Callithrix jacchus: one gene and its partner. The protein of the gene in region 2 purifies or fractionates together with the protein of the main gene of each other region. This does not show direct contact. Links are inferred from orthologs where the notes say so. Each region holds a gene or a part of one and is shown on either strand. Other genes may lie near its edges.

What was found.
Region 1: the proteins of TSPYL6 (region 2) and PSME3 purify together in Homo sapiens (affinity purification with mass spectrometry; 3 studies listed by BioGRID and IntAct, counting the BioPlex papers as one, with this or other methods). This does not show direct contact. The link is inferred for Callithrix jacchus from reciprocal best matches to the Homo sapiens genes TSPYL6 and PSME3.

Annotation. Positions count from the first base shown.
Region 1 is NC_133506.1:121,060,758-121,067,110, forward strand, and holds the start of PSME3 (proteasome activator complex subunit 3), read right to left. Parts: upstream 3,449-6,353; 5' UTR 3,363-3,448; coding exon 3,288-3,362; intron 3,200-3,287; coding exon 3,167-3,199; intron 3,047-3,166; coding exon 2,984-3,046; intron 2,786-2,983; coding exon 2,681-2,785; intron 541-2,680; coding exon 492-540; intron 102-491; coding exon 1-101. UniProt on the Homo sapiens protein: Subunit of the 11S REG-gamma (also called PA28-gamma) proteasome regulator, a doughnut-shaped homoheptamer which associates with the proteasome. 11S REG-gamma activates the trypsin-like catalytic subunit of the proteasome but inhibits the chymotrypsin-like and postglutamyl-preferring (PGPH) subunits.
Region 2 is NC_133515.1:60,261,960-60,268,076, reverse strand, and holds the start of TSPYL6 (testis-specific Y-encoded-like protein 6), read right to left. Parts: upstream 4,340-6,117; 5' UTR 4,262-4,339; coding exon 3,041-4,261; 3' UTR 1-3,040. Other genes in the region: ACYP2 (acylphosphatase-2), read left to right, coding at 4,591-4,686.

The DNA of each region.
Region 1 (6,353 bases), on a different chromosome or scaffold from region 2:
TTCAATCAGCAGCCGGATCTCAGGTTTCACTTTCTCGATAATGTCCACCAGCTGCTGGTTGCTTTTCAGCATCCCATTGGGCATGACAAACACCTTGGTTCCTGGCAGAGATACGAAGGTCAAACGATCAGGGAAGAGGAAAGGACACAGTATCCCCTAATTTTTTCTCATTTTCTCTATACCGATCACATGCTACGACCTCTGCCTTCCATTTGTCACAACCCTACCATGACACCACTATTAGAATCAATGAGAATGGATGGAACAAAAGAACAACAGATGCACATCTAAAATAGGACAGAAGGCTTAAACTCTGTTTATTGGAAAACCAGGAACACTAAATAACGAGCACGTTTGGAGGAGCTGGGAATGCTGCTTCTGGGAAATAAGATTAGATCTTGCTTCCTGGTCAGAACACTATATCCATCCTGCTTCTCAGGGCTGCAAGTCAGGGGTGAGGTGAGGGGAGAGGAGGTAAGGGTGGCTCTTACCTTGGAAGGCTTCTTCACACTCATCCAACCTTCGCTTCTTATAAGTGGGCTATGGATACAAAGAGGCAGGGATGAGCCTGCTTTTGACACCCACATTTCCATCACAAGATACCCTTCAAACAAGTTTAATCCCTTCCTCAGCCTCACAGCTTGTGTTATTAATTTCTGTACAATTTCCTAAGTACATATAAAGCTTTAAGAAAAGGTTCTCGGAGGCTGGGCACAGTGGCTCACATGTGAAATCCCAGCTCCTTGGGAGGCCCAGGTGGGTGGATGACCTGAGGTAAGGAGTTCAAGACCAGCCTAGTCAATATGGTGAAATCCTATCTCTACTAAAAATATGAAAAATTAGCCAGGTGTGGTGGCAGGCGCCTGTAATCCCAGCTACTTGGGAGGCCGAGGCCGGAAAATCGCTTGAACCTGGGAGGCAGAGGTTGCAGTGAGCTGAGATCACACCACTGTCTTCTAGCCTGGGTGACAAGAGCAAAACTCTTCTCAAAAAAGAAAAAAAAGAAAAAGAAAAGATTCTTGGGCTGGGCGCCGTGGCTCATGCCTGTAATCCCAGCACTTTGGGAGGCCGAGGCATGTGGATTACTTGAAACAAGCCCAGGCAATGTAGGGAAACCCCATCTCCACAAAAAATACTAGCTGGACATGATGGAACATGCACCTGCAGGCCCAGTTACCTGAGAGGCTGAGGTAGGAGGATGGCTTGAGCCCAAGAGTTTGAGGCTGCAGTGAGCCGAGATTGTGCCACTGCACTCCAGCCTAGGTAACAGAGTGAGACTCTGTCCCCCCTCAAAAAAAGAAAGAAAAGGTTCTTGCCACAAAGCAAATTATGCTCTAGTTGGGAAGACCAATCTTTCCAGAAATACAATACATTAAGTATTATAAAGAATAGGAAAAAAGAACCAATCAAAGCAGGGAGGATAATTAAGGGAATATGTACAAATCTGCTGGTTCCACAAAGGAACACATTATTCAGTCAACAAACATGTATTTAGCAACTGCCATAGATGAGGATCAACACTAGGCACTGGGAATACAGAGAATAAGATAGTTCCTTCCAGCTGGACCACGGTGGCTCATGCCTGTAATCCCAGCACTTTGGGAGGCCAAGGTGGGCGGATCACTTGAGGTCAGGAGTTCGATACCAGTCTGGCCAACATGGTGAAACCCTGTCACCACTAAAAATAAAAAAATTAACCAGGCATGTTGGTGTATACCTGTAACCCCACCTACGCAGGAGGCTGAGGCGGGAGAATCACTTGAACCTCGGAGGCAGAGGTTTCAGTAGGTAGGTCAAGATCGTACCACTGTACTCTAGCCTAGGCAACAGAGTGAGACTCTGTCTCAAAAAAAAAAAAAGAAGATAGATCCTGCCTTCCAGATATACAAGTTCCATCAGTGAGGCAGTACTACAGACAAGAATACAGTATCATCAGTGTTCTAACAGCACGTGAACATGTGACTGGTAAGGACTAGGTGTTAAAAATGTAGAGCAAAGACGGTGATTGCAGTTATATAGCAAGAACAACTCTGTATCCCGTAATACTACTCAGGACATAGAAAAAAGGTAAGTAAAGTCTTCTTCAGAGCCATGGGAAAATCCAGGTAACCTGATAAAGCTAGTTTTCTTTTATTTGAAACTCACTCTAACACTGAAAATAGCATTAGCATATTGACTTCATGTCATAAATGAAACTCAGGGTCTAAAAGGAATATACGAGAGGCCCCGTGCAGTGGTTCACGCCTGTAATCCCAACTCTGGGAGGCCAAGGTAGGCTGATTGCTTGAGCTTAGGAGTTGAGACCAGCCTGGACATCATGGTGAAACCCCGTCTCTACAAAAAATACAAAAATCAGCTGGGCATGGTGGCGTACTCCTGTAGTCCCAGCTACTTGGGGGGCTGAGGAAAGAAAATTGCTTGAGTCCGGGAGGTCAAGGCTGCAGTGAGCAGTGCTTGAGCTGCCACAGTCCAGCCCAGGCAAAAAAAAAGTGACACTCTTTCTCAAAAATAAATAAATAAATAAGAAATAAAAGGAGTACACTAGAGTCAGCATGTCTATAACAGAGTCCTAGTTCCCAGGTCCAAATCCCACTGTTGCCTCTGTACATGTTGAACTGACAAGGAAACAGGACAGAGGACCGACTGCTCAAGAACACAAAGATAAACATAGGACACTTACACCATCCAGTCCATCATGGCTATTGGTGAGAAGAATGGGGTCAGGGACTGGGAGATTCATGTCAGAGTGGATCTGAGTTAGGTCATGGATGTTTAAGATTGGTTCCTGAAAGACACCCACCCCAAAACATTAATCTTTTCAAGTTGAACAAAGAAGTATTTGATTTGAAGGGCAAGAAATCAAAGTGCTTTTACAGTTTAAAAAAATAAAAAGAAGAAGATTCAACACACAATTTGTCCCGCTTGACAGTAATACCAGGGCCAAAAAAATTGGGGAATCTGAGGAAAGAAAAGGGTCTCTCACCTTCAGAAAACTATCAAGTTCTAATAACTTCTTTGGGAAAAAATTTGCCACCAAGTCTTCTGCCTAAAGAGGAGGGAAAATACAGCTGAATTAGTATCTGTGGGAAGGTCTCTCTATATAGATATCTCCTCTTTGGGAAACTCTCAATTAACCAACACCCATTTTTCTATTTATTTCACTCACCTCACTTGTGATCCGCTCCCTGAAAGAATCAACCTAAAATTAACAAAGAGAGCAATTGAGTACCTGGGGACAGAGGTAAGAGCAGGATAGAGAATCCCAAATCCAACTGTCTTTCCCTCACCTTGTAACTGTAATATGAAGCTGAGAGGCCCCCAGACTGCAAATACTTTATTTTTTTGAGGACCCATTTTTCCATCTCAGGAGAAGGACGCAGGGCTTGAGGGCAGCACCTGCCTGTCTCCTCTCCTCTCCCTCCCACCCTCCCTGTGTCTGAAGCTGTCTGAATTTCATAAGCAGACAAAAGACAGGTAGTTAGGGGAGATGTGAGCTCACAAACGTGCCAATCCCCACCCAGACTTGGCCTATGATACAAGGCAGACCACCAAGGGCAGGGGCAGTGCCCAGGGACGTTGCTGGGCTGGGGGATTTCCAGCTGTCACCGGCCTAAAGCCCTGAGTCCAACACGTGTCCGCGGAGGTGACCCCGGGACTCTTCATCATCAGACACGGTACAGAAAGCCATCCTATATTTTCTTCTCCCGCGAAGCCGACCCCAGGAGCTGGGGGCTGGGCTGAGCCGAGCGGAAGCTCAGAGCTGGTATCCCCAGGGAGACAAAGACGCCATGGGGAGTAGGAAGCCGGTCAGACTACTGGGGGATCAAAGTGAGGGGCAAAAAGGCCGGACTGGCGCCGCTACCTTGAGCTTCACTTCCTGATCCACCTTCAGCAACGAGGCCATGGCCGGGCCGGGCCGTGTCCGATCCGCGGGACACCGGAGGCGCTGTGGACTCCGGGGAGGGGGCCAGAGGTACCTGCGGAATCTCGGCTGACCTCGGGACCCGGCCGCCCTCGCTGGCTCACTCACTGCTCGCTCGTTCCCTCCCTCCGTGCCGCCCGCCCGCCCGCCGGCAGCCTGCTGCCTGGTCGCACTCTCGCTCGCCCTCCCGGCTTTCGCCGCTCACGCCGGAAATTGCGTCACAGCCAATCGCCGAGACTTCTGCGAGGTTGTGCACGTGCCCTGCGCAGCCGCGATGAGACTCGGCTTTGGACGCTCCGGGCGGGGTTCACAGGGTCCGGGCCAAGAGTCGGATAGGGGTGAAGTAAAAGGGAGAGCGGTGGGTGATGGTGCACTGAGAACTGAGCCTCCGAGAGACTCGGAAATGGTGTGACCCTCTGTTGGCCCGGAACTCGCCTTCACCGAATGGAATTTCTCAGCCGCTGCAATCCCGAGGACAACGCCGTCGCGCCCCAGTGACGTAGGCTCGGAGAAGTCGGGGACCCGGGTACTGGGTTCTCGGGGTGTAGTCCCTGATTCCCGCTGCCTCTGCCGAGCCTCAAGTGTTTAGGCTAGAGCGGAAACGACAAGTGCCGTTTTATCAAGCTTTCCTGATGCATTTCTCTTCCACTGATTCTAGCAAGCTTCCAGACCTCAAAGATACTATCTAATGGGCAAATTGACGGCCAGAGTAGGGTAGGGCTTGTCCAAGGCGTTTCCAGTACATTCTGAGCCAGAACCCGTATCTCCAAACTTCTACGGCAATGCTGTATCTATTTTTCTAATGGAAGCTTGAGACTATACATCTTCATTCACCCATTCATTCGACCTCTCGAGATTGGATATTTCGTTCAATAAAATGGGCCAGGGCACTGTCTCAGAACCTAGAAATATGTGAGTCACACGTAGACTAGAATCTTCTAGCAGCCACGATTAAAAAGTAAAAGAAACAATTGAACATTTTAGTTATGTATTTAACCCAATTTATCCAAGTATTTCAACAAGTATTCAACATTAAAAAAATCCAGATCTTATGCATTCTTTTCTCATACCAAGTCTTCAAAATCCAGTGCATATTTTATACGTAACTGCACATCGAAATAAGGTAACACCACATTTGCTGTCAGTAGCCACATGTGGTTGGTGGCTTCTGTACCGAACAGCACAGCTCTGGGAAATCAAAGGCAAACAAGACTCAAGGTGGCTGGTTCCATGGGGCATAATATTGGAAGAACACCAGAAAGTAAACTGACAAGGTAACTGCAAAATTTGATAAATGTTAAGAAATAAGTGGCAGACATGGAAAATACCAGAGATCTATTTTACATAGAATGGCCAAGGAAGGCCTCTTTGAACAAGTGACAATCTGTGATCTAAAGGATATAAAGAGGTTAGCATGGGAAGAATGAGAAGAAACTTGAGAGATCTAAGTGCAGCTCAGGTAAATGCTGTAGGAAAGAAGAGATTTTCTTATTGTCTTGAAGACAAAGAGCAGTGAGCTGGGGGTGAGGAGGGTTGTTAGTAAACAATCTAGATTAAGTGCAAAAGAAGGTCATCAGATTTATATTTTGGGGTCGCTCTTGCTGTTGAACATTTATCCTAGTCTGCCCCCTCTACTGTGCTATCCCCTGTCTTGAAATGAGGGAAATACACAATTAAATGGAGTGCAGCACACTGACTATGGTCTTTGGAATCAGAGACCTGGGCTTCAAATCCCACCTCAGCTCCTCACTAACTGGAATCTTGGGCAAATTATTGAAATGCTGGGTCTCAATTCCCTAATCTGTAAAATGGAATTTTAATAATTAGTAATAAATAATAGTATGTAATTTTGTAGTGGTGTGAATATTAGAAATAATATATGTAAAACAATTAGCACAGTGCTTAGATACAAAATAAATAGCGACTGTCAGATGAGTAAGTGATCTGTTAGTGCTTAGCATAAAGAGGTTACTTCTTAAATAACAGTAATTATGGCCAGGTATGGTGGCTCACACCTGTTATCCCTGCACTTTAGGAGGCCGATGGGAGGCTGAGGCTGGTGGATCACCTGAAATCAGGAGTTCGAGACCAACCTGGCCAACAGGATGAAACCTCATCTCTACTAAAAAGACAAAAAATTAGCTGGGCATAGGGGTGGGTGCCTGTAATCCCAGCTACTTGAGAGGCCTGAGGCAGGAGAATCACTTGAACCCAGGAGGCAGAGGTTGCAGTGAGCTGAGATTGCGCCACTGCACTCCAGCATGGGCAACAAGAGCAAAACTCCAACTCAAAAAAAAAAAAAAAATTAGAGTAATTATCTTCATTTCTGCTTTCAAGCTCAAAGTCCTTTTCAACTTATATAAGGCCACATATGACATAGCCCATACTATCCATCTTGCTCATAAACATCTAACAGTTTTCCCCCTTTTAC
Region 2 (6,117 bases):
GTTATACTTCATACATAAAAGAGTTATATAGCGTGTACTCTGCATCTGGCTTCTTACATCCAACATGTTTGTGAGATTCATTCATATTACTGCATGTAGGCATAATTCTTTCTCATATTCCATCATGTGAACATTTTTAAAAATTAATTTTTTCCACTACTGATGGATATTAGGACAGCTCCCAGTGTCAGCCATTAAAATTGTGCTGTTACAAACGCTTTTTGCACATCTTTGTGTGAATATATGTATAGATTTCTGTTGGGTATATTCCCAGTGCTAAATCAGAGGGTGTGTACTGATACTGCCAAACAACTTTCCAAAGTATTTGTACAAAGCTACTCTCCCATAAGCAGTATAAGAGCCTTCTGGTATCTCTGTTACATTCAACCTTTGTTATTTTCCATCATTTTCTTTTTCAGTAACAAGCTTTAATTTTACCATCATCCATTTATAAGGAAAGATGCCATTGACTTAATGGAATCAGACAAATATGCCAATGGTATCATTCCAATTTCACAAAGCAGTCTCACAAGCAGTTCCATTCTTTGGGCCGAGGCAGGTGGATCACAAGGTCAGGAGTTCCAGACCAGCCTGGCCAACAGGGTGAAACCCTGTCTCTACTAAAAATACAAAAATTAGCCCAGCGTGGTGCTGATCGCCTGTAATCCCAGCTGCTTGGTAGGCTGAGGCAGGAGAATTGCTTAACCCAGAAGGTGGAGGTTGCCGGGAGCCAAGATCACGCTACTGCACTCCAGCCTGGGTTCAGAGCAAGACTCCGTCTCAAAAAACAAAACAAAACAAAACAGGCATATTAATTACTAAGTTGTTACCAGGATAAATTATCAACAAAGACAATAAGAACCATAAATTTTTTTGTAATTTATTTATCCATGAACACAACAGTTTCCAGTCTTCTGCATCAGATTAAGACCAGGTTATTCAAATTAATATGTTAAAGATATGGTTTTAACAGAAACAAGACCAGGCTGAAAACTGTCATGAATATCCACATTAAGTCTCTATAATGTACAAAAAAGAAAGACCGATATTATTCCAAATGTTCCAAATTGAAAGTAACTCTGCACAGCTGAATCTTCCCAGTAAACAGAAACAAAGAAAGTGTTACAACACAGTATTAATCTTCTACATAAATAAGGCCACATGCAAACAAGAAAGAAGATACCCAAAATTGCAGTGTGTATTCAAAGAACCCTTCTCTAGGCAACATAAATTAACATTCCAACCATCTTCTATTCTTCTATCCCAATACAAAAAAAAAAAAAGTACTTCTCTTCCCATTATAACTAACAGAGTAAGTTCCCCTTCCTCACAGGATCTCAAGTCAACCCAGTGTTCATTCTAGGCCCAATTTTCCCCTGAATCATTTCTGCCTCACCTCTGCCTTTTTGTTCAGTTTTCCATGCTTAGAGCACCCATCACAATCTCTTTAGTTCTTCCATCCACTCTCAACTAGAAATCACCTTTCATTCCATCCAGCTCTGTATTCCTTTAAAACCTCTAGGAATTGCTAAAGAGGGGTGAGGGGCTGAAAAGAAAGAGTGGGCAATAAGAGATTTGGCAGTGTATTTTATAGAAGAGCCTGCCCTGGACATGACAAAAAAAGCCAAGAAACTAAAAGGCCTGCTTCTGCGGAGATTTCATAACTACCACTTTAAAAAAAAAAAAAAAAAAAAAAAAAAAGGGCCGGGCATGGTGGCTCAAGCCTGTAATCCCAGCACTTTGGGAGGCCGAGGCGGGTGGATCACGAGGTCAACAGATCGAGACCATCTTGGTCAACATGGTGAAACCCCGTCTCTACTAAAATTACAAAAAATTAGCTGGGCACGGTGGTGCGTGCCTGTAATCCCAGCTGCTCGGGAGGCTGAGGCAGGAGAATTGCCTGAACCCAGGAGGCGGAGGTTGCGGTGAGCCAAGATTGCGCCATTGCACTCCAGCCTGGGTAACAAGAGCAAAACTCCGTCTCAAAAAAAAAAAAAAAGGAAGACAGAAGAGATAGATGAGGGAGGCCCTGGACATGACAAAAAGAGCCAAGAAACTAAAAGGCTTGCTTCTGTGGGTATTTCATAATTACCACTTAAAAAAAAAAAAGGAAGACAGAAGAGAGATGAGAGAAAAGAAAGTGTACACCCACTCTGGCACTTTATTAGGTACAGGAAAGGAGGCAAATAAAGGTACCTAGATTTTAATGAGGCCACTGATGGTGGCTGAGAAAGCCTGGTACTTGTCAAGATATTACCCTTGCCATGAGGATAGGGTCTATCATGTCCCCTCAACCACTTGTTTGACAGTAGGATTTCTGGGTGACGAGGGTATGGTGGTGAAGAATTCAAAGATCTTTTGGTAGAGGAACGGGTCTTTTGTGTGTTGACAGGAAACCTGTGTCCACCACCAGTGTTCCGGAGATCCCTGTTTATTAGAAACCAGAGAGTAGAGCTGGCAATGGTCTGGAATATGTTCACTTAGCAGGGAGCTGCCCAAGGTGGTGGGCATAGCCAGCAGCAGGCAGCAATCAGTGACCAGAGTCTCAGGAAAAGTAATGGGGAGTCCCATGACTCACGCAGACCAAGCTGCCCCCTGCTGTTCTTCCTTGACTTCATCAATGCCTAGCAGTTGTCCACAGGCCGCCTGTACTGTCATATGCAGAACAGGGTGAGCAGAATACATTCTTAGACACAGCTAGAAATCCAGGTAGGAGGAGCCAGACCAGAGGTCCTGGGAACAAACAGAGTCCAAACAAAGGTAAAGACAGTGCAGTCTACAGCATCCTTCGCTTAGAAGGATGTGACTCATCGGCTGGGAGCCTATGATGTTAATGCAGAACAGCAAGAAGACCAGGCGAAAGGGGAGCAGCATAGCCACCAAGGTCTCAATCTTCAGGGTGAGAGAACGGAAAGTTTAAACAGAGTACAGAAAAGTCAGAACAAAAACAGGAAAGGGCATACCTAATACTGTTGCCCAAGCACAGGTCCAGCAGGTGGTGGCAGGAGACCTTCTGCGGGAGCAGTTCCAAAGGCCAAGGTTAACCAGACTGGAACCCAAAGGGCCTCGGGATCTCCACTGGCTCCCTTACCGGGCGACGTCTAGCTCTATGGGCGCCTTCATGCAACAGGTAGTACTGCAGTGGATTCGGCCAGATGTCCTCTTTAATAATGTGAGCAATCCTGTCGGACTCTGGAAGGCAGTGGTCTGAAAACCAAGTGAAGAAGGTGCAGATGACATGTCGGTTCCTATGAATGAAGGACTGGGGTCCATGGCCCCGGCGCCACATAACTAGAGTGGAAAAAGACACCACTTGGCCGTAGGATATGACCTCATACACCTTGACAATCAGCTTGTTTTTGAAGTAAGGGTTTCTTCGGAAGAAGAACTTAAACTTGCAGCCTGTCCTCGGGTGTCTGAGCTCCTTCACTTCCAGATCGGTTAAATAGCTTAACATCTCTGCATCTTGGCCTCTAATCATGGCAGACAGCTGTGGGTGGTTGTGGAAAGCTGTGACCCAGAAGCCCGGGATACTGCGAATCATGTCATTCCTCCGCTCCAGGTAGTATTCATGTATCGGCCCAAACCTGCGCTCCACCTGCAGGAGGGCCCTGTCAGCCTCGGCATTCATGGAGTCCAGTTCCAGATGGATGGCCTCCAGGGGGTTCAGATGGAGATCCATGTTGAGGGGCCCAGGCCCTGCCTCCATGTTTACCTCATCTGTCGCGCGGTTTCCTTCCGCCATGTCCATTTCTGTGCCTCCGGCCTTCTCATCAGCTGGGGCTGAGAGCATGGCGCACTCTTCAGGCTCCAGGTCCTCGGGCTTCCCCACTGCAATCACTTCAGACTCCAACCTCCCTGTGCCACAGGTTTCTAGAGCCTTCTCCCCACCTGGGCCGCGCCTCTCTTCACCCTGAAAGCCATCTTTAAGGCTGCCGTCAGTTGCCGCGGAGGCAGAGGCTGTTTCCCGGCCCTCCGCGGGTAGTGGAGTCACTTCCTGCCCCGCGTTGATGGCTCCATGACCGCGACCCCCATTGACCAAGATGTGGAGAGTATCGCCACAATCTGTGGGATCCTGAGGCGCGACCCTTTCCTCTGGAAGCTGTGGCGGTGGGAGCAAGATTGACTCCAAGCGGCTCTCCACTGTCTCCGCCATTACCTGTTTTGCCTCACTCTCGTCTCCGGGCCGCTGGCCCTGGTGCGGGTCTTCCAGGACATGGTCGAGAGTAGAGGGGCTGCCGGGACTCTCCGGGAGGCTCATGTTGGTAGCGGCCAGGGCTGCAGTGGGGAGAGGCCAGGCCAGGCGTGTGTAGCGTCAGCGTCCCTCACACAAAATGGCGAGTGAACACCTCGACCATTTGCGCCGCCCACTCGTCAGTCTCGCGACACCCACTCGTCAGTCTCGCGACACCCACTCTTCAGTCTCGCGACACTTACCACTCAGCCTCGCGAGTCCGTGGTGGTGTCCTGTTCATCTTAGTTATTTTAGCCATTGTGCTGGATGAGTAATGGTATTACGTGTTGATTTTAATTTGCATTAACCGAAGTCTAATGAACTGAGAACCTTCCCTTGTGTTTTTTGGCCATTAGGGTATCTTCTCTTGTGCAGTGTCCGAGGCTTCTATTTCTCTACTGGACGGGCGTTCTATGTCTTTCATACGGATGTGTAGGAAGCCTTTTTACATGGTAAATACTAATTTTTCTTCCAGTGGGAGAAGATCTTTGTAATCCATATGCTGGAAGAAAAAAATGATGGTGAGGAGAGTATTACATGTAATGCATATACTCCGGTGTGTGTGTGTGTGTGTGTGTGTGTGTGTATAATATATATATTATCTCCTCACCTTTTTTTTTTTTTTTTTGAGATGGTGTTTAGCTCTCATTGTCCAGGCTGGAATGCAATGGCGCAACCTCGGCTCACTGAAGCCTCCACCTCCCGAGTTCAAGTAATTCTTCTGCCTTAGCCTCCGGAGTACCTGGGATTAGAGGCGCCTACCACCACTCCTGGCTAATTTTTTTTTTCTTTTTGTATTTTTAGTTGAGACAGGGTTTTGCCATGTTGGCCAGGCTGGTCTTGAACTTGCGGCCTCAGGTGATCACACACTTCAGCTTCCCAAAGTGCTGAGATTACAGGCATGAGCCACTGCGCCTGGCCTATGTGACCTTTTTTTTTTTTTCTTTGAGATGGACTCTCACTCTGTCACCCAGGCTGGAGTGCAGTAGCACAATCTCGGCTCACTGCAACCTCCACCTCTGGGGTTCAAGTGATTCTTCTGCCTCAGCCTCCTGAGTAGCTGGGATTACAGGTGCATGCCACCATGCTTGGCTAATCTTTGTATTTTTAGTAGAAATGGGATTTCACCATATTGGCTAGGCTGGCCTCGAACTCTGGACCTCATGATCCACCCACCTCAGCCTCCCAAAGTGCTGGATTACAGGCATGAGCCACCGCCCTGGCCTTTTTCACCATCTTAATGATACCTTTTGAGGAACAAAAGTTTTTCATATTAATATGTGCCAATTTGTCATTTCCCCTTTTACCTTAGTGTTCTTCTGCTCTGTTTGTGAAATCTTATCTGGGCTTAGGCCTGTAATCCCAGCACTTTGAGAGGCCGAGGCAGGAGGATCACTTGAGCCTAGGACAAGCCTGGGCAACAGAGCAAGACCCCATCTCTATTTTTAAAAAGAAGGAAAAAAGAAATCTTTTCTCACCAAGATTGTTCAAATTTATATCTGCCATCCATCTGGAAATGATTGTTATGGGGGGCGGTCACAATTTGTTTTTTCCATATAAATATCTAATTGACCCAGCACTGTTTATTGAAAAGACCATTGTTTCCCCATGCATAGGTTTTTAGATGTTTCCATCAAAAGTGACATCTATCATTGGCCCGAGCTAGTCAGTTGGCCTTGCCAAGTTTTACTAGGATAGGGAGGTGTAATCTTCTCCTGAGCCTAGAAGGAGGAATCTGGAAATACTGGCAAGTGCTGTACCACTGATCATGAAAAATAATTTGAGTAATATAGAAAAGACCAATAGAGTTAGGCCAAAGAACACAGAGAAAAGGTAGTAATAAACAGGAGAAAGTTATGTAAGACAACAGAGTATCAACCAGA